Oryctolagus cuniculus: one gene and its partners. The main gene of each other region encodes a partner of the protein of the gene in region 3 in a complex. Links are inferred from orthologs where the notes say so. Each region holds a gene or a part of one and is shown on either strand. Other genes may lie near its edges. The genes, in order: RIPK2, ARHGDIA, NGFR and TRADD.

Region 1 (3,557 bases), on a different chromosome or scaffold from region 3:
TGTGCAGTGAGTGAATTTCAAAAGCACATGCTATCAAGCTATTTACCATAAAAATAAAGTGTTCAATGTATACACTTGCACCAAACTGAAGGGAAAAATCACTAGTCTTTTGACACTTGTAATATTCTGTTAAACCTCAAGTCAGTATGTATTCCTTCTGGAGTTCTTGAGTTCACTGCTGTGGAACTTAATTTTATTTTTAAAAAAACAGGTTAGAGTCCGGCACCGCAGCTCCATAGGCTAATCCTCTGCGGCATCGGCACACCGGGTTCTAGTCCTGGTCGGGGCGCCGGATTCTGTCCCAGTTGCCCCTCTGCCAGGCCAGCTCTCTGCTATGACCCAGGAGTGCAGTGGAGGATGGCCCAAGTGCTTGGGCCCTGTACCCACATGGGAGACCAGGAGAAGCACCTAGCTCCTGGCTTCTGATCAGTGCGATGCCGGCTGCGGCGGCCATTGAAGGGTGAACCAACGGCAAAGGAAGACCTTTGTCTCTGTCTCCCTCTCTCTCACTGTCCACTCTGCCTGTCAAAAAAAAAAAATTAAAAAAAAAAAAAACAGGTTAGAAAATATAGAAATAAAATATTTATATAACGTTTCCTTTGATCTAACACCTGAATGCAATGGATATACACAAAGACATTCAATTCATTGACTTTTTAAAGAGAAAAATTTTAAATTCAATTATTTACTATTTTTCCCATACAGATTGCAGATTTTGGTTTATCCAAATGGCGAATGATGTCCCTTTCACAGTCACGAAATAGTAAATCTGCACCAGAAGGAGGCACAATTATCTATATGCCACCTGAAAACTATGAACCTGGACAGAAATCAAGGGCCAGTGTCAAGCACGACATATATAGGTACAGTGTATTCCTTTGTTCAGAGTTAATTTAAAATACAAGATTAGTCAACCAGGATTTTGCAGCTCTCATAACTCTGCTGAAAAAATAACAGAGGCCACAGTGTTTAGTATTACTCAATTTAAAAATGCCTTGCTTAAGCAACTTTTATATTCTTTAAAAGATTTTAAAGTACATCTTTTTGTCCTATTTGTTGTATGTAACTTGGGAGAAATAGTTGTTCTTAACATTTTACTTTTAAGTTTCCCATCCTGTTCTACCATTTATTGTCTGATATCTAGACTTTTTTTTTTTTACAAAAATAAACAAATCCTTAAACCAACTGAGATTTTTGTTTTAAAAATCCCTAATGTTTGCATATGTCATATGTGTTTATTAAGATCATGTTTTCATGTTTAACATACAGATTACTTACAACCTTATAATAAGTATAAAACAGTAATGAGTATAATACATTATTCTTGATATTGGATATTTGACCAGAGGAAAGGAAGGTGATAATTTATAATTCACAGAATTAGGGAGTGGCACCAATCATTCATTTCATGTAAAACTGTACTTGTTTCTTTTAACATGCATAATTAATGTAAACCAGAATTAATAGCATATACTATGAACACATTTTATAACCTTTTAAAGTATTTTTGCTATATTTAATAAATAATCGATAAAAATTAAGGTGCATTTAACAATAAATGCTATTTCTCTACCAGAGAATTACATATTTAAATTGTGTATCCCTTGCTCCAAATGATTTAATTTTTATTACTTCTCATTAAATCCAGTACCAACTAACTAGTTTTAGTAGCTATGCTAAGGCACTTAGAGCAAGTGTCTTTTACATTCACATTACTGTATGAATAAAAGTTCTTTTGTATTTTCTATTCTCTGATATCTTTAGTTCATTTTGAATGATGTACTGTGACGATATAGGAGGGTAATTTATATCTTCTAAGGTAAAAATCATACTGTAACCAATAATTTTTGAAAGCGGGGTTGATTCTATAAACAAAGATCTATTTAAATCTGCTTATCATTGATTTTGTGAAGTATGCCTTTATACTCTACTCCTGTATTCCACAGCAGGGAAAATGAGGAAATATTACTCCTTGATTTGGTTGAGAATTCCCTGTGTAACCCTTACTCTCCCTCTAGGATTATGTGTTGGTTGGTAACTAGTCAATTCCAAGTGTCCCTATTGAATGCATTGTTAATTTGGGGATGCAGAAAAATTTCTATATCCTATTTAATCATTTATCCCAAATACAAACTTTGTGTGACTAAACCAGGTGATTTAAAACTGATGTTAATTGTAGGCAGAATGTTACTACCTTGAAGGCAGAGAGTACTCAAACCAGGAAAAAAAGTCATTAGAATGGGACCACATGAGACAGTGTTTTTATTGCTCTTTATTTTGTGCGAAAAATAGGATCACATAATTAAAGAGCATAGCTTATCTGAGTATTCAAGAATGAGTTACCCTTCTAAGGATATCCTTGCATGTAACTTCACAGTTTTATTACCGTGATTTTCTAAAAAAAATGTTTTTGAAAGACAGTGATCCCATTCACTAGCTCCATCTCCAGATGCCTGCATTAGCCAGGACGTGACCAGGCCAAGGCCAGGAGCTGGGAAATCAATCCAGGTTTCACACATGGGTGAGAGGAACTCTATCTATCAGATCCATTGCCACTGTGCCTAGGGTCTACATTGGCAGGAAGCTGAAGATAGAAACCAGACCTGGGTACCAGTACCTCAACCGTGATTTTAACTCTGAGGCCAGATGCCCTCCCCTAATTTTTCAAATTAATATTAATTTCCTTTCCAAACAAAACTGTCTTGACCATTCATCATCTTGGTTTTATGTGGTAATTCTTTAAGCAGCATTTGACTACCTTGTCATTTTCAAAAATGGTATCTTGACAGTTAGCTTTTAAAATTAGTTACTATTTTAGGTTATTATGCAGAGTTCATATATAATGTATAAAATTCATAATGTATGTAATTTTTGTTTTTATCTTAAACAGCTATGCAATTATCACATGGGAGGTGTTATCCAGAAAACAGCCTTTTGAAGGTAAGAATACTTTGACTTCCTTATTTTTAATAACAACATTTTGGCAGGCTGCACTCAGAACTATCCAACATTCATCTTATTTTAAATGTATCTGTCATTCATTTGTGCAAACTAACAGCATGAAAACAAACATTTTTCAATTACGAATCTATCATTTACAGCAAAGTGTACCAGATTAAGGGTCAGGAAGAATCTAGAATCTTTTTTTATTTTTTTAAAGATTCATTTATTTACTTGAAAGTTGGGAATAACAGAGTGGGAGAGGCAGACAGAGAAAGGTCTTCCATTTGCTGGTTTTACCTCCTGGCTGGGCCAGGCCAGAGCCAGGATCTTCATTTAGGTCTCTCACATTAGTGGCAGGGCCCCAAACACTTGAGCCATCTTTCACTATTTTTCCCAGGCCATTAGCAGGGAACTGGATCCGAAGTAGAGCAGCTGGGACTCAAACCAGCACCCACATTGGATGTGAGCATTGCAGGTAGCAGCTTTATCCACTATATCACCATGCCAGTCCCAAAAATATAGTTTCCTTATTCTTGCTCTGACAGTAATTAAGTCTATGATAAAGTCACTGAATTTCTAGAATCCTCATTTTCCTCATCGACAAAACAAGTATT
Region 2 (4,207 bases), about 25 Mb from region 3:
AGGCTGGACCCCATCGTGTAGGGCCCCTGGGCAGACTTCTGCCCCAAGTGTCCCATGGTTTCCCGCGCCGTGGTCACCGCCCACCCCAAAGAGGGCCGAGCAGACGCGGGTCCTCGGGGCAGTTTATTTCCCAATTGGGGGAGGAGAAGCGGGGGCTCCTGCGGCTGTGGAGGCCGAGCCCGGCAGACGCCACACGGAGACTGGGGGGAGGCACGGGGACGGCCCCCAGCGGTGTGCACTTGGTCCCAGGTTTGTCCTGCAGGGTCCGGGAGGGCCCAGGACGGCACGAACAGAGGCAATAAATACTGCGGCCCGGAGAGCAGGAAGGCTCGGCCGCACCGTCTGCCGGGGGCTCTGCGGGGGAGGGGTCAGTGCTGGCCGCTGGGACAGGGCAGGCGGAGGTGTGGGACGCCTGCCCCCCCCCCACGGGACAGAAGTGCCTGGCGTTTGGCAACGTGGCCCGCCCCAGCGGCCGGGGGACAGGGGTCGGCTGGCCAGGCCAGGGGGCTGGGGGGCAGGGAGGCGGCACTGGCGCCCCTCCCCTGTCGCGGGGGCGGTGGGCGGGGCAGACACGGGGAGTGAATGGCAGCTCCCGGGACGCATTCCACACGTTAAGGCATCATGGTTAGACGGTACTGAGCGACAGATGAACTGGCCGGGGAGTGGATGGGGCTGCCTCACGCACCCCAGCTCCCGCGCGGCCGCCCCGCTCCCTCCTAAGGGCCAGGGCCGCGGGCGTGGCGGTGGGGGGGGACCTGGGGAACACAGCGGGCAGGGAGACTCGGGCCGGGCCTCCCCCGGCAGCACAGGCAGAAGCAGCAACGGCAGACCACCGCGGGCGGGGCCTGTGGGCGCAGGAGGGCCAAGGGGGGAGGGCCGCGGGGGCCCTGTCAGCACTTCGGTGGGGGGGCTCAGTCCTTCCACTCCTTCTTGATGGTGAGGTTCCACTCCCAGGACAGGTGGTCCGTCTTGTCGTCGTCCGTGAAGCGGGACCTGATGTTGTAGCTGCCGCGCGCCAGCATGCCCTTGGGCGCCTCCTCCATGGGCGTCAGGAACTCGTACTCCTCGGCCCGCGGCCCGTAGCTGCCCACCATGTAGTCGGTCTTGTCGACTGCGGGGCGCGGGGCGCGGTCAGCGGCGCGGGGCGTGGCCTCGGCGCCCCGCCCTTCCCGAGGGCGTGACCAGACTGGGCGTGGCCTCAGGCGTCCCTCCAGACCCTTTCCCACGGGGCGTGGCCACTCCTGCCCCCTCCCCAGGTCTGCCCCCATTCGCTCCCGGGGGCGTGGCCAGACGCGGGGCGTGGCCACGCGCACTCACTCTTGACGCCTTTCCTGTAGGTGTGCTGGATGTACTTCATGCCGGACACGATCTCTCGGTTCACCTGCGGGCGCCACAGCGGGGGTCAGCGGGGTCAGCGGGGTCAGCGGGCCCACGCCCCCGCGGCGCGCCCGGCCTACCCGGAAGGAGATCTTTATCCGGTACTCCACGCCCTCCTTCAGCACGAACGACTGCTTCTTGAAGCTCTCCAGGTCTCCTGTGCGGGGAGCACACGAGCGCACTTCCGCCAGGGCCCGCCAGGGGGCAGCCCCGCACCACATCACTTAGCGGAAGCAACAGGGTGGCAGCCAGCCCCACCCAGGGCCGCGGGCGCCCACTCACCGGTCAGGTCCAGCTCCAGGGGGCCCGGGGCCGTGCTGCACACCAGGGTCAGGCGGGTCACGACGACGTTCGGCACGCTGGGGTCTGGGGAGAGCCGGCCGGTGAGACCCCCGCCCGCCGCGGCCGCCGGGGCAGGCGAGGGCGGACAGGTGCCCCGCGGCCACACCCACTCACCCGCGGACACGGCCACGCGGCCCAGCAGGGCCTCCTTGTACTTGCGCAGGCTCTCGTCGTCCTTGTCCAGCTCCTGGATCTCCTGGATGCTCTTCTGCGCCGGCGGCTTGTAGTTGACCGAGTGCTCGTCCTCCTCGTTCTCCGCCGCGATCTGCGCCAGCTGCTCGGCCGTGGGCTCCTGCTCAGCCATGCTCGCCGCTCGCTGCCTGCACACCTGTGGGCGCGCAGGGCTGTGGCCGCCGGCAGCCGCCTCCCCCACCACGGCCCTCCCGCGTCCCGCGGCCGCCCTCGCCCGCAAGGCCTCTCCTGGCGCCCGCGCGTCGGGGCACGAGGGCCACCCCACGCCGAGGGGCTCGGACCCGAGATCCGGGAGGGGCTGCAGCGCCCTGCGCGCCCCGGAACCCTGAGCACCCACCGGCTCGCTCCGGGCGGGGCTGGAGGCGGTCAGAGCGCAGCGCACGCACAACGCCCCGCGCACAAACCGGGCCGGCAGCGGCGGCCGCGGGCTACAGCCAGGGCGGGGCCCGCACTTCCGCAGGGCCCGCAATCCGGGCGACGGGCGGGGCGGGGCCGGGGCGGCAGCGCCCGCGGCCCCCGGGAGGGGGCTTCGGGCCCGGCCCCCTGCACGCAGGGCCGCCGGAGCGCGCGCGGGGCCCGGGCGGCCCCCCGCCCACGCCCGCGGCCCCTCCGCACGTGGGGCCGCCGCCCCGCCCGGGCCCGCCCCGCGCCGGCCGCCGCTGTCAGCCCCCGCCCCGCCGAGACCCGCCGCGGGCGCAGGGCGGGGCGGGCGGGACAAAGGCGGCTCCTCCCCCGCGCCGCGGCCGCCGCCGGCGCGCCCGACCCGCTGCCCACCCGCGCGGCGCTCGGCCCCGCAGGGGCCACTCACCGGAGGGCTCGACCGCGTAGCTCTCGCGCTCCCTCCCGCAGCAGATGACGAACGTCGTCCGCCGCCCCGCCCGTCCGTCCGCCCGCCCGCCTGTCACTTCCGGGGTCAACGCGACTTCCGCTCTCGGCGGGCGGGCCGGCGGGGCTGCGCATGCGCGGCGGGAGCGCTGCGGCCAGGGCGCGTGCGCTGCGGGCGCCATCTTGCGGGCCGGGCCTCGTGGGCGCTTCCCGCTGGGCGGCGTGGTCCTCGAGGTGGGCGCCCGAGGGACCAGGACGCCTCCCGCGCCAGCCACTGCGAGGCCCCGCGGTCGGCCCTGTGGGTCGCCAGGCGGGGGGACACAGCTGCCCACTGCAGCGGCAGAGCGGGGGGGGGCGTCGTCAGGACCCCCGGGGTGGACTAGAGCCTGAAGCTTGTCCTTTTCTTTCTTTAATATTTATTTATTTGAAAGGCCGAGTTAGAGAGGTCAGATCTTGCCCCCGCCGGTTCACTCCCCAGGTGCACGGTCCAGGCCTCCCGCGCGGGAGACGCGAGGGGCTTGGCCCGCCCCGCCGACAGCTGCTGCAGGCGTCGGCGAGCCCCTCGGCGCCCTGGCTGGGGCTGGCACGGGACCCCCCAGTGCAGCCCCCGGAGCTGTCGGGGCCTCGACCGCGGCCCCCATCTGCTGCTCCTCGGCCGGAATCCGGTTCGGGGCAGCGCTGACCGGCACCGTGGCTCGAGCACCACTCGGGACGGTCCTGGTTGCTCCCTTCCCATCCAGCTTCCTGTTAATGGGCTGGGGGAGATCAGGCGACAGCCCAAGACCTGGGGTCCCTGGCACCCGTGGCGGAGACCTGGGTGGAGTCCGGCGCGTGGCCCTCGCTGGTTGGCTGCTCCCGCCTCCCCTGGAGGTCTCGGGGTTCCCTCAGCTCTGCCGTCCCTGCAGGGTTGGGCGGACCTGGCAGACGGGGCTCCATGGACGTGAGCGCCGGACAGAGGGGTCCCTGGACAGAGGGGTCCCTGGAGCAGGCCGGCAGGGCGACGCCCCGACACTGAATGGGCCTGAGCATCTCCAGCCACTGCCACTGCCCCCGGCCGCACTGCCCCCCCCCCCCCAGGCCGCACTGCCTCCCCTGCTCCCCCCCACACCCAGGGGCGGGTCTGGCTCTGGCTGGTTCGAGTCCCGGCTGCTCCTCTTCCGATCCAGCTCTCTCTGTGGCCTGGGAAAGCAGTGGAAGATGCCCAAGTGCTGGGCCCCTGCACCCGCATGGGAGACCCGGAAGAAGCTCCTGGCTCCCGGCTTTGGATCAGCGCAGCTCCAGCTGTTGGGGCCAACTGGGGAGTGAACCAGCGGATGGTCAAGACCTCTCTCTCTACCTCTCCTCTAACTCTGATTTTCAAAAAAAAAAAAAAAAAAAAAAAAAAAAAAATGGAGTTATCCTGGTTCAAATAAAAACATTGAATGCAACAGGGCCTGCCGTGTATACTCTGTTGCAAGGCCGAGGTGTGCGG
Region 3 (3,557 bases):
CTTTTAGTTAAGGGAGAGACCTGACCCCATGGCTGCCTCAGTTTCCCTCGGCTGGGCTCCTCCCTCCCACCCCCTCCATGCTCCAGACAGCCCCGCCTTCCCTGGTCCTCAGGTTTCTAAATCCAAGCTCTGCCAGCCCTGGGAGCAAGGGTGGGACCGTGTTCCCCACCCTGGGCTGCAGAGGGGAGGAAGGCCTGGCCCCGCCCCCGGCTCCCTCGCACCCCGGCATCTCCACTCTCTCCGCTGATTCCCGAGCTCACCTCCCTTCATTAAGAGCGTGAGTCAAGAGGAAGTTTGCAAATCTCCCCTTTGTGCCACTCGCTGACTGCACGCAAGTCCTGGCTTTCCAGCCTCAGCCCTCCTGCTGTACCTGAACTCTCCTGGCCTGGACTCCGGTCCCCACCCTCCCAGGCCGAGCCCTGGAGCAGGGTGGGGAGGCACCCTGGGTGGGAGCCTGAGTGACTCCCAGGCGGAGGCTCCCTAGGGGCAGGCTGGCCTGCCCGGGCTGGGTTCACAGCCCTGCTCAGGCCCCCGGAAGGGCTGGGTAGGCTGGGTGGGGACTGGGCTCAGTTCTCTCCCTAATCACCCAGGCAGCAAGAGAATTCTCAAAAAGAACTTGCCAAGAGATTTGGCGGCACCAGCTGGGCTACCCCCGGGAGCCTGGGGGCCTGTGCTTCTTGGGAATTGGACAATGGGGCCCTTAGCTACCTTCCCAGGGCAGCTGGCACCAGGGATCCCAGAGCCGCGGGGGCGGGAGAGATCACAGGTGCACCCTGTACTCGAGTGCTCAAGGTGCAGGCCACTGCCCGGCTGTCCCTGTGCCCGCAGGCGTGACGTTCTCCGACGTGGTGAGCGCCACCGAGCCGTGCAAGCCTTGCACCGAGTGCGTGGGCCTGCAGAGCATGTCGGCGCCCTGCGTGGAGGCGGACGACGCCGTGTGCCGCTGTGCCTACGGCTACTACCAGGATGAGACGACTGGACGCTGCGAGGCGTGCCGCGTGTGCGAGGCGGGCTCGGGCCTGGTGTTCTCGTGCCAGGACAAGCAGAACACGGTGTGTGAGGAGTGCCCCGACGGCACCTACTCTGACGAGGCCAACCACGTGGACCCGTGCCTGCCGTGCACCGTGTGCGAGGACACCGAGCGCCAGCTGCGCGAGTGCTCACGCTGGGCCGATGCTGAGTGCGAGGGTGAGAGCAGTGGCGGGGTCGGGGGTGGGGGCGATAGCGGTTGGCCCGGGTGCCCTCTGGGCAGCGAGGTGGGGAGGAGTGGAAGGGGCACTGACCAGAAGGCCCTGTCCTAGCCCGGAAACCCCAGGGAGGGCAATGTTCCCAAGCCCATCCCACCGAAGGACCCCTCCTCTCACTGTTGGCGTCCTGGGGCTCCCCATCGGGGAAAAGCCAACTGTATCACCGACTCGGAGTGCAGCTACTGCGTCCCAGCTCGCTCCCCGGGACTTCACTCACCCATGGCTGCCAGCTGGAGATTGGACGGGTCGCCGGTGGTGGCCGGAAGATGGCCACAGGGCACAGAGTGGGACATGCAAGACCCTTGTGGTGGGCTTCGTGAGCTGGAAAAGGGCTGGAGGACTCAGGGGCAGGGACCCTTTGGCTCTGAGACCTCATCTAGGTCCCTGGTGGCTCTGCTGCCTGGGATGGGCTCCACCCTGTCGCTGCTGAGTGATGTTAGGGGGGTCACCTCTGTCTCTGGATCTGTCCCCAGGGTGGTTGTGTCATGTGGTTCCCATGGTTCCTGGGGTAGGGAACACACAGTGCGGCTGGCAACAGGAGGGCGCGCAGCTTCCAGAGTGGATGAGAGTGCTTAGCCAGGCACAGGGGTCCGGGAGATAGGGTGGCTCCCGGATGAGAGGAACAGACGCGGTGGGAGCTGGGGCATAGCTGTTTTGGGCTCTGCTGGATGATGTCCATCTTGGGCGAGGCGGATGGGCTTCTCGCCTGCAGGGGAGATGACTTTATGTTCTGTCCATCACCCATTGGCCAAGGCCTCCATTGAGCCATTTCTCTGAGCGGGGAGCACAGCGCCCCCTTCAGGACAGAGACCGTCTTGGCTCCAGTCTGATGAGGGAGACTTGGCCCCAGCACTTATCCCAGCCCTGGGAACTTGGGAGACCTCCCACTCCGATGGAAGCAGCACAGCCTCTGCCTTCCATCAGCCCCCTCCTTCCACACATCCCCGGACCCTGGAGGGCCCCCCAGTTGGAAAGAGGCCCCCACACACCCATCCCTGCCTTCCAAGTCCTGTAATCCTGGCCCTGGGTGCTCAGGTGCCGGGCGGGCTCTGAAGCGGGGCTGAGGCCAGGTGTGTGCTTGAAGCTTGCTGCATTAGAAAAGGGTGGAGGGGGGAAGGAGGGAAGAACGGGGAGGTGCTGGTGCCATTGCCTGGGGCCAGGGGGCAGGCAGCGGGCAGAGCCGGGAGGGAGCCAGCCAGCACACAAGGGGCAGTGCAGTTCATGGGGCAAGACTGGACTAGCCAGCGGGGGCCTTAGTCAGGGGCGTGGTTAGAGGCGAAGAGGGTGGCTGCGGGGGAGGGGGAGGCAGGCTCTGCCTTTGCGGGGGTTTACGGATGCCTCCCAGGTACCACCCCACTTTCCCAGCACCTCCCAAGGAGGAGTATGCCCCCGGAGGATGTGTTTGCTCCTGCCCCTACTCCCCTTTCAGCTCCAGCCTCCGAAGCTGGGGGGTGGAGGGAGTGGGGGCGAGGGACCACTTCAGGAAATGGAATCTGAGTCTTGGTTTGGTGCACCCCCAGCTTGCCTGCGTATACATTTCAGGTGTCAACAGGGTGACTCACCCACCTCCCCACCCCTCAGTGAGATTCAGGTTTAGGAGGGGTGACCCGGTCCCTCCTCCCAACGCAGGTCTAACAGCTCCTATTCCGGAAATGGCTGTCAGGGCTGGCCAAGGGCTTAGCGGGTTGGAATGTGAGTGGACGCGGCCACATCTGGGTCTCATCCTGGCCCACATCAGAAGGGGGAGGTGAGGTGAGGCTGCGCGCCTGGGCAGCGGCTCAGTCTTCAGTCTGACTTGTCCCCAGAGCCCTTTCTCGTTTTCCTTCGCCAGGGCTCTCTTCTGTAATGGCCGGATTCACCCCACCCACACTCCTTCAGTCTCTGGGCCAGAGCGGGTCTGAGCTGAGCTGTATCTTCAGCCTCCCGGCTCCAGCTGCCCCCAGCTTGCCCAGTCCCCTCTCAGGACCCCCAAAGACCCTCCCTAGTCTGAGGCTGCGGGAGACAGGGCTGTGTCTTCTCCACTTCCCACCTGACCCCCTCCCAGGACTGAGATGGCGGAGGGGAGGATGGGCAACAGATGGCAGCCCCCTCCCCACTGCCATACAGGTGGAGTCCAGATTCACATCTGGGGGCCTTTCCCCTTGGAAGGTGTGAAAACGGGGGCCTTTGAAGCATTTTCACCTTGAGCCCCGAAGACCGGTGGGCAGCTCGGACTCCCACTTGGGTGGGCAAGCTGAGGCCCGGGCGGGGCAGAGCTGGGGAGCCCGGTGCCCTCGCTGTCACCTCGTTGGCATGTCCTGTCTGCTGTCC
Region 4 (3,998 bases), on a different chromosome or scaffold from region 3:
GCCACCTCCCTCAGCCCTGACGGCCAGGTCCTTCCTCATTTCCCTTCACCATTCGGCCAGGCAGAGTGGTGTCACTATGTCCCGGGCACCTCTGAGCCTTTGCTGATGCTGTTCCCCAAGCCTGGCGTGCCCTTCCCCTCCCTCCACTTCTCCCAAGACTCAAATATTCCCTTGTCCACTCCAATGCCAGAGTGTCCCAAGGTAGTTCCTTCTTCCGGGTATCCCAGTGAGCAAGGCATACCCGCACTCCTGACCTTAACTAACATCCCTGCGCTGCGAAAACGCGGCTTTCGGACGGTCGGCCAACGGCGGGCACCGGGAGGGAGAGCGGAGCGGCACTTATTCTGGGTAACACGGAGGGGTGCGCAGATTGCGTCGCCCAGTCCTCCTGTCTCCCTCCTCTCTAACTTGCTTCATGTTAACCTCATTTCCCCGAGACCAGCCCTGTGCGTGCAAGGCGTGCGGAGCGGAGAGCCAGCAGCGCTCACAGCTCTAAGGTGAACCCCGAAGTTAAGGCAGGGGTCAGAGGCCAGATGCTTCCCAAGGCACCAGGCGGCGAGACGTGAAGCTGGCTCCCGCCCTCCCCCCACTCCCCATCCCCACCTGCTGCACCCTCCGGCTCTTCTGCTAGGCAGCCGGAGGTCGTGGGAAACAGCGGGCGCCTTTGCGCATGTGCGACCGCCCAGCTGCCCTTACCTCCCCAGCGCCCAGCGCCCAGCGCCGGAGCCGCCGAGTCCTGCGGCGGGGCGGGGCGGGGCTCACAGACCACCTTCGTGGCGGCTGCGGGTGGTGAGGCTGGTTCCGCCCAATCTGTTTCCCTTCCCGCCCCCAGCCGGGAGGAGCGGGGCTCCGAGTCGGGTCCGCTACGGGCGGCCCCGCTCACGGGTCGGGCCTCGGCGGGGCGGGAGATGACGGTGCAGAAAGGGCCGGGCGGGGTGGGGGTGGGAGCAACAGCTGCGACGGGGGCGGGACGGCCGGGGCTGCCGGGAATGGCGGGGGGCGGGGGCGTCCTTGCCCAGCACCTGGAGCCGGGCTCCGCTTGCCCGCGGGGCTCCCCGGGAGATGAGCTGGGGAGGAGGCAGTTGGGCCCGCACCCCACGTAGCCAGCGCCCACGCTGGGCCTGCCAGTTGTCAGTGCGCTTCACAGCTCTCCTCTCATCGACCTCCCTCCTCTCTGCTTGTCCCAGACGAGGCTCAGAGAAGGGGACCGACCGACTCGTGGTCACAGAGCGCTGCATCGCTGGGCAGGGTGCGTCCCAGAGGTTGCAGGGGCCACGCGTGAGCCCTGGATCCCGGCCTAAGTAAGAGGGTTGGCCCCCTCCCCGCTTCCCAAGTACCATGACTCTCTGGAGATTCTTCCATTAAAGCCCTAGCACCTGGACGCTTTTACGAATGCAAAGTTCCCCTTCCATCACCAGGACACCTGTGCTCCCTCCCTGGTCGACGGAGAAAAGAGAGCAGAAACACAGAAAAAAATGCAATTTATGTGCAGGGCTCATCAGGGTGCTGGAGAGAGGCCGCGGAGTCAAGGAGAGGGGGTTCACTCACCCCCCGCCAGGGGGCGCCAGGAAGCCGAGAGGGGGTGTGCCGCTGTGGACTGGTCCCTCAGCCAGCCCGGCTTCATTTGCTTGCAGGTTTCAAGGGGAAGGACTGGCCCCGGGGCCCAGGTAGGAGGCCCTGCTCTCAGGGGTGCTGTAAATGGTTAAAGCCCCAGGCAAGCCGAGAGCTGGGCCTCCCAAGGCCGCCTGGACATCCAGCAGGAGCGGGGCCCCCAGCGTAGGGTCCTTCCCTAGGAAGAGTGGGTTTGTGCTCAGCAGCCAGGAAAGGTTGCCCTTCCCACCACTCAGTGAGGATGAAACATTCCTAACCTCCTCCTCTCCTGCCATGGTGAGGGGGTGGCTGGACCAAGCCGGGGGGCTTCCCTGCAGAACACCCCCCCCCCCCCATCATGGTAACTTGCTCAGTCATGGCCTCCCTCAGGTCCTGAGTCACCACATTACCTGGGCCTGGAGAACTTAATCCCTTTACTGCCAGCTCACTCTCACCCCTCTCTGGAACCAACGGCTGCATCTGCAAGAGAGAACCCCAGGAAGTAGCTGGGCAGGGAGCCAGTGGCTGAGGGGGAGAGCTGGGGACCCCCAGCCCCGGGCAGGCCTCTGCCAATATGGCTTTGGCCCACAAAAAAGCACGGACCAAAGGGTGAGAGTCCACAACCCCAGACCCCTACCATCCCCTCCCTCATCTTACCAGGGACAGCTCCATGTCTAAGTCCATCAAGGTCCATTCTCTGCCTTGGAGGCTGGGGCCCAGCACCTGGGGAGCACGCCAGGTTAGTGGTGCCCTCCCCGTACTGCCCAGACAGCTGGGCCCTGGGGGTTCTCCTGCCCGTGCCCCAGCCAAAGGGGTACTCACATCCAGGGGTCCTGCAGGCTCCACACCTTCAGGAGGGGCCCTGAGCAGCATTGGAGGCAGCAGACTCTCTGGGCTCCTGTCCCCCCTCTCCAGGCCCAGAGGCCCCCTGTGCACAGAGAATCGCTATTGCCCTGCAGTGCCCACCCCCTATTAGGTTCCTAAGGAATGAAATTCCCCAACATCTAGAAAATGCTACGCTGCCCCTCCCCCCACCAGAGGGCTTCCCACCTGGGACCTGAGGTTTGGGCTGTGGAGCTGGGGGCTTGGGAGGCATCTCCTCCCCACACCAGTGTCAGTACCAATGGTTCTTAAACTATCGTGTATTTTACAGTGATTTCAGTGAACTCGTTTACATGCAGATTTCTGGGTCCTACCACAGAGACGCTGAGTGACCTGCCTGGGAGTTCCTGCTGTGAACCCTGACGCTGGTGCTCCAGGGAGCACTCTGGGTGGAATCAGGTCAGTATCTGAGATCCCACTGCCCACTCTCCCCCTCCGCCATGAAGGGCCAGACCCAGCCGGGCAGCTGGGCCTGCCTGACTAGTGCTGCTCCACCTGCAGAGGTGGCCGCCAGTCAAGAATGGGCTCTGCTCACCTGTCGGGAACCTCCCTGGGACCCCTTGGTTCAGGCTGTTGGGCATTCCTGGGCCCTTCTGGGCTGAAGCTCCCTTTCCCTTCCAGGATGGCCTGCACCACAGCCACAGGCAGCGGTGGGGGGGCTGTCACGCAGAAGTCACACTCGTTTGGGGCCAGGGCCAGCCCGGCCTCGCCATCCCCCCCTGGACTGGCCGGCTCTTCTTTGAGCAGTGCCAGGCCCTTCTCCCTGCACGGAGAAAAGCTTCAACCAGACCCTGGCACTGACCTCTCCCCCACCCTCACAGCCACCTGGGCTGCCAGGCCCTCCCCTTCCAAGCTCCCCCCAGCCCAGGGCAGCCCCGAGCCCCTTACCTCGTGCCACCACTGGGGGGAGACAGCCTGGGCCCTTCAGGGGATGGGGAGTCTTCTGGGATGTCAGAGATGATGGGGCCCCTGGCCCTGTGAGTGCTGAGACCCAGGGTAGTCTCTGGGAGGGGCTGTAAGGAGAAGAATAGACCCAGCCCTTGACCTCCAGCCACAGGGAGAGCCAGAGGCTAACCAGAGCCCACCTGGACCATGTCTAAGGGAAAATGTTTGAGGAGGGCCGCTCAGGCCATGCTGGGGAGCCCAGGTCAGGTTGGGGGTGAAGCCTGGCCTCCATCTTCTCTTTTGGGAGTGGGGGGAAGGGAAAGGCTCTCCATCCACCCCACTGGGCCCTAGGGGAGGGGAGAAGAGAACCTACCGACTGGATAAAGTAGGGGTCCTGCAGGAGGGCACCAGCAAGGGGGCAGGTGTTGAACTTGGCGGGTGTCGGGCAGGAGCTCCCCTCATCCAGCATCAGGGACCTGTGCAGGGTGACCGGGCACAGGCAGGGGTGGGCAGGTCAGCTCCCCTGTGCCTCAGCCTGCACTTCCCTCCCTCCCTCCCTCAGGCCCCAGCAGCCAAGTCAGCAGAGCTGAGGCCTGTTGCCAGGGCATCAGTCACATGCTGGAGGTGGAAGGGGCTCCCCC

What was found.
Region 1: the proteins of NGFR (region 3) and RIPK2 are in contact, whole or in part, in an NMR structure (PDB 2N83), measured with the Homo sapiens proteins. The link is inferred for Oryctolagus cuniculus from reciprocal best matches to the Homo sapiens genes NGFR and RIPK2. Residues at the interface, in NP_002498.1 of Homo sapiens: Gly334, Leu335, Ser338, Leu339, Pro340, Lys343, Val347, Ser354, Ala355, Asp357, Arg360, His361, Gly364, Glu365, Tyr368, Pro370, Ile373, Asp374, Leu398, Asp399, Leu401, Leu402, Arg406, Arg407, Ile408, Gln409, Arg410, Ala411, Asp412, Val414; in NP_003812.1 of Homo sapiens: Gln437, Ser465, Arg466, Asp467, Leu468, Met470, Glu472, Asp495, Ile496, Gln497, Gly498, Glu499, Glu500, Lys503, Ile523, Leu524, Val526, Ser527, Arg528, Ser529, Pro530, Ser531, Leu532, Asn533, Leu534, Gln536.
Region 2: the proteins of NGFR (region 3) and ARHGDIA are in contact, whole or in part, in an NMR structure (PDB 8X8T), measured with the Homo sapiens proteins. The link is inferred for Oryctolagus cuniculus from reciprocal best matches to the Homo sapiens genes NGFR and ARHGDIA. Residues at the interface, in NP_002498.1 of Homo sapiens: Arg274, Trp275, Ser277, Cys278, Lys279, Gln280, Lys282, Gln283, Gly284, Ala285, Ser287, Arg288, Pro289, Val290, Asn291, Gln292, Thr293, Pro294, Pro295, Pro296, Glu299, Lys300, Leu301, Ile307, Ser308, Val309, Gln312, Ser313, Asp316, Gln317; in NP_001172006.1 of Homo sapiens: Ala8, Glu9, Leu11, Ala12, Gln13, Ile14, Ala15, Ala16, Glu17, Asn18, Glu19, Glu20, Asp21, Glu22, Val25, Pro30, Ala31, Gln32, Lys33, Ile35, Gln36, Glu37, Ile38, Gln39, Glu40, Leu41, Asp42, Lys43, Asp44, Asp45.
Region 4: the proteins of NGFR (region 3) and TRADD are in contact, whole or in part, in an NMR structure (PDB 7CSQ), measured with the Homo sapiens proteins. The link is inferred for Oryctolagus cuniculus from reciprocal best matches to the Homo sapiens genes NGFR and TRADD. Residues at the interface, in NP_002498.1 of Homo sapiens: Glu345, Glu346, Glu348, Lys349, Leu350, Asn352, Gly353, Ser354, Ala355, Glu379, Ala380, Cys381, Arg384, Glu420; in NP_001310481.1 of Homo sapiens: Thr201, Phe202, Asn211, Ala275, Glu276, Arg278, Arg279, Thr281, Gln283, Arg284, Glu287.

What each region holds. Positions count from the first base shown.
Region 1 is NC_091437.1:115,014,899-115,018,455, forward strand, and holds part of RIPK2 (receptor-interacting serine/threonine-protein kinase 2), read left to right. Parts: intron 1-705; coding exon 706-863; intron 864-2,890; coding exon 2,891-2,940; intron 2,941-3,557.
Region 2 is NC_091448.1:1,032,161-1,036,367, reverse strand, and holds ARHGDIA (rho GDP-dissociation inhibitor 1), read right to left. Parts: upstream 2,853-4,207; 5' UTR 2,720-2,852; intron 2,380-2,719; exon of another isoform or gene 2,249-2,379; intron 2,048-2,248; 5' UTR 2,024-2,047; coding exon 1,834-2,023; intron 1,744-1,833; coding exon 1,660-1,743; intron 1,535-1,659; coding exon 1,458-1,534; intron 1,382-1,457; coding exon 1,318-1,381; intron 1,112-1,317; coding exon 912-1,111; 3' UTR 111-911; downstream 1-110. UniProt on the Homo sapiens protein: Controls Rho proteins homeostasis. Regulates the GDP/GTP exchange reaction of the Rho proteins by inhibiting the dissociation of GDP from them, and the subsequent binding of GTP to them.
Region 3 is NC_091448.1:25,541,903-25,545,459, forward strand, and holds part of NGFR (tumor necrosis factor receptor superfamily member 16), read left to right. Parts: intron 1-828; coding exon 829-1,188; intron 1,189-3,557. UniProt on the Homo sapiens protein: Low affinity receptor which can bind to NGF, BDNF, NTF3, and NTF4. Forms a heterodimeric receptor with SORCS2 that binds the precursor forms of NGF, BDNF and NTF3 with high affinity, and has much lower affinity for mature NGF and BDNF.
Region 4 is NC_091449.1:50,463,303-50,467,300, reverse strand, and holds the start of TRADD (tumor necrosis factor receptor type 1-associated DEATH domain protein), read left to right. Parts: upstream 1-1,186; 5' UTR 1,187-1,301; intron 1,302-1,464; exon of another isoform or gene 1,465-1,637; coding exon of another isoform or gene 1,638-1,789; intron 1,790-2,000; coding exon of another isoform or gene 2,001-2,070; intron 2,071-2,247; coding exon of another isoform or gene 2,248-2,313; intron 2,314-2,412; coding exon of another isoform or gene 2,413-2,518; intron 2,519-2,771; 5' UTR 2,772-2,871; intron 2,872-3,007; coding exon of another isoform or gene 3,008-3,235; intron 3,236-3,360; coding exon of another isoform or gene 3,361-3,511; intron 3,512-3,730; coding exon of another isoform or gene 3,731-3,833; intron 3,834-3,998. Other genes in the region: HSF4 (heat shock factor protein 4), read right to left, coding at 1,638-1,789, 2,001-2,070, 2,248-2,313, 2,413-2,518, 3,008-3,235, 3,361-3,485, 3,731-3,833. UniProt on the Homo sapiens protein: Adapter molecule for TNFRSF1A/TNFR1 that specifically associates with the cytoplasmic domain of activated TNFRSF1A/TNFR1 mediating its interaction with FADD.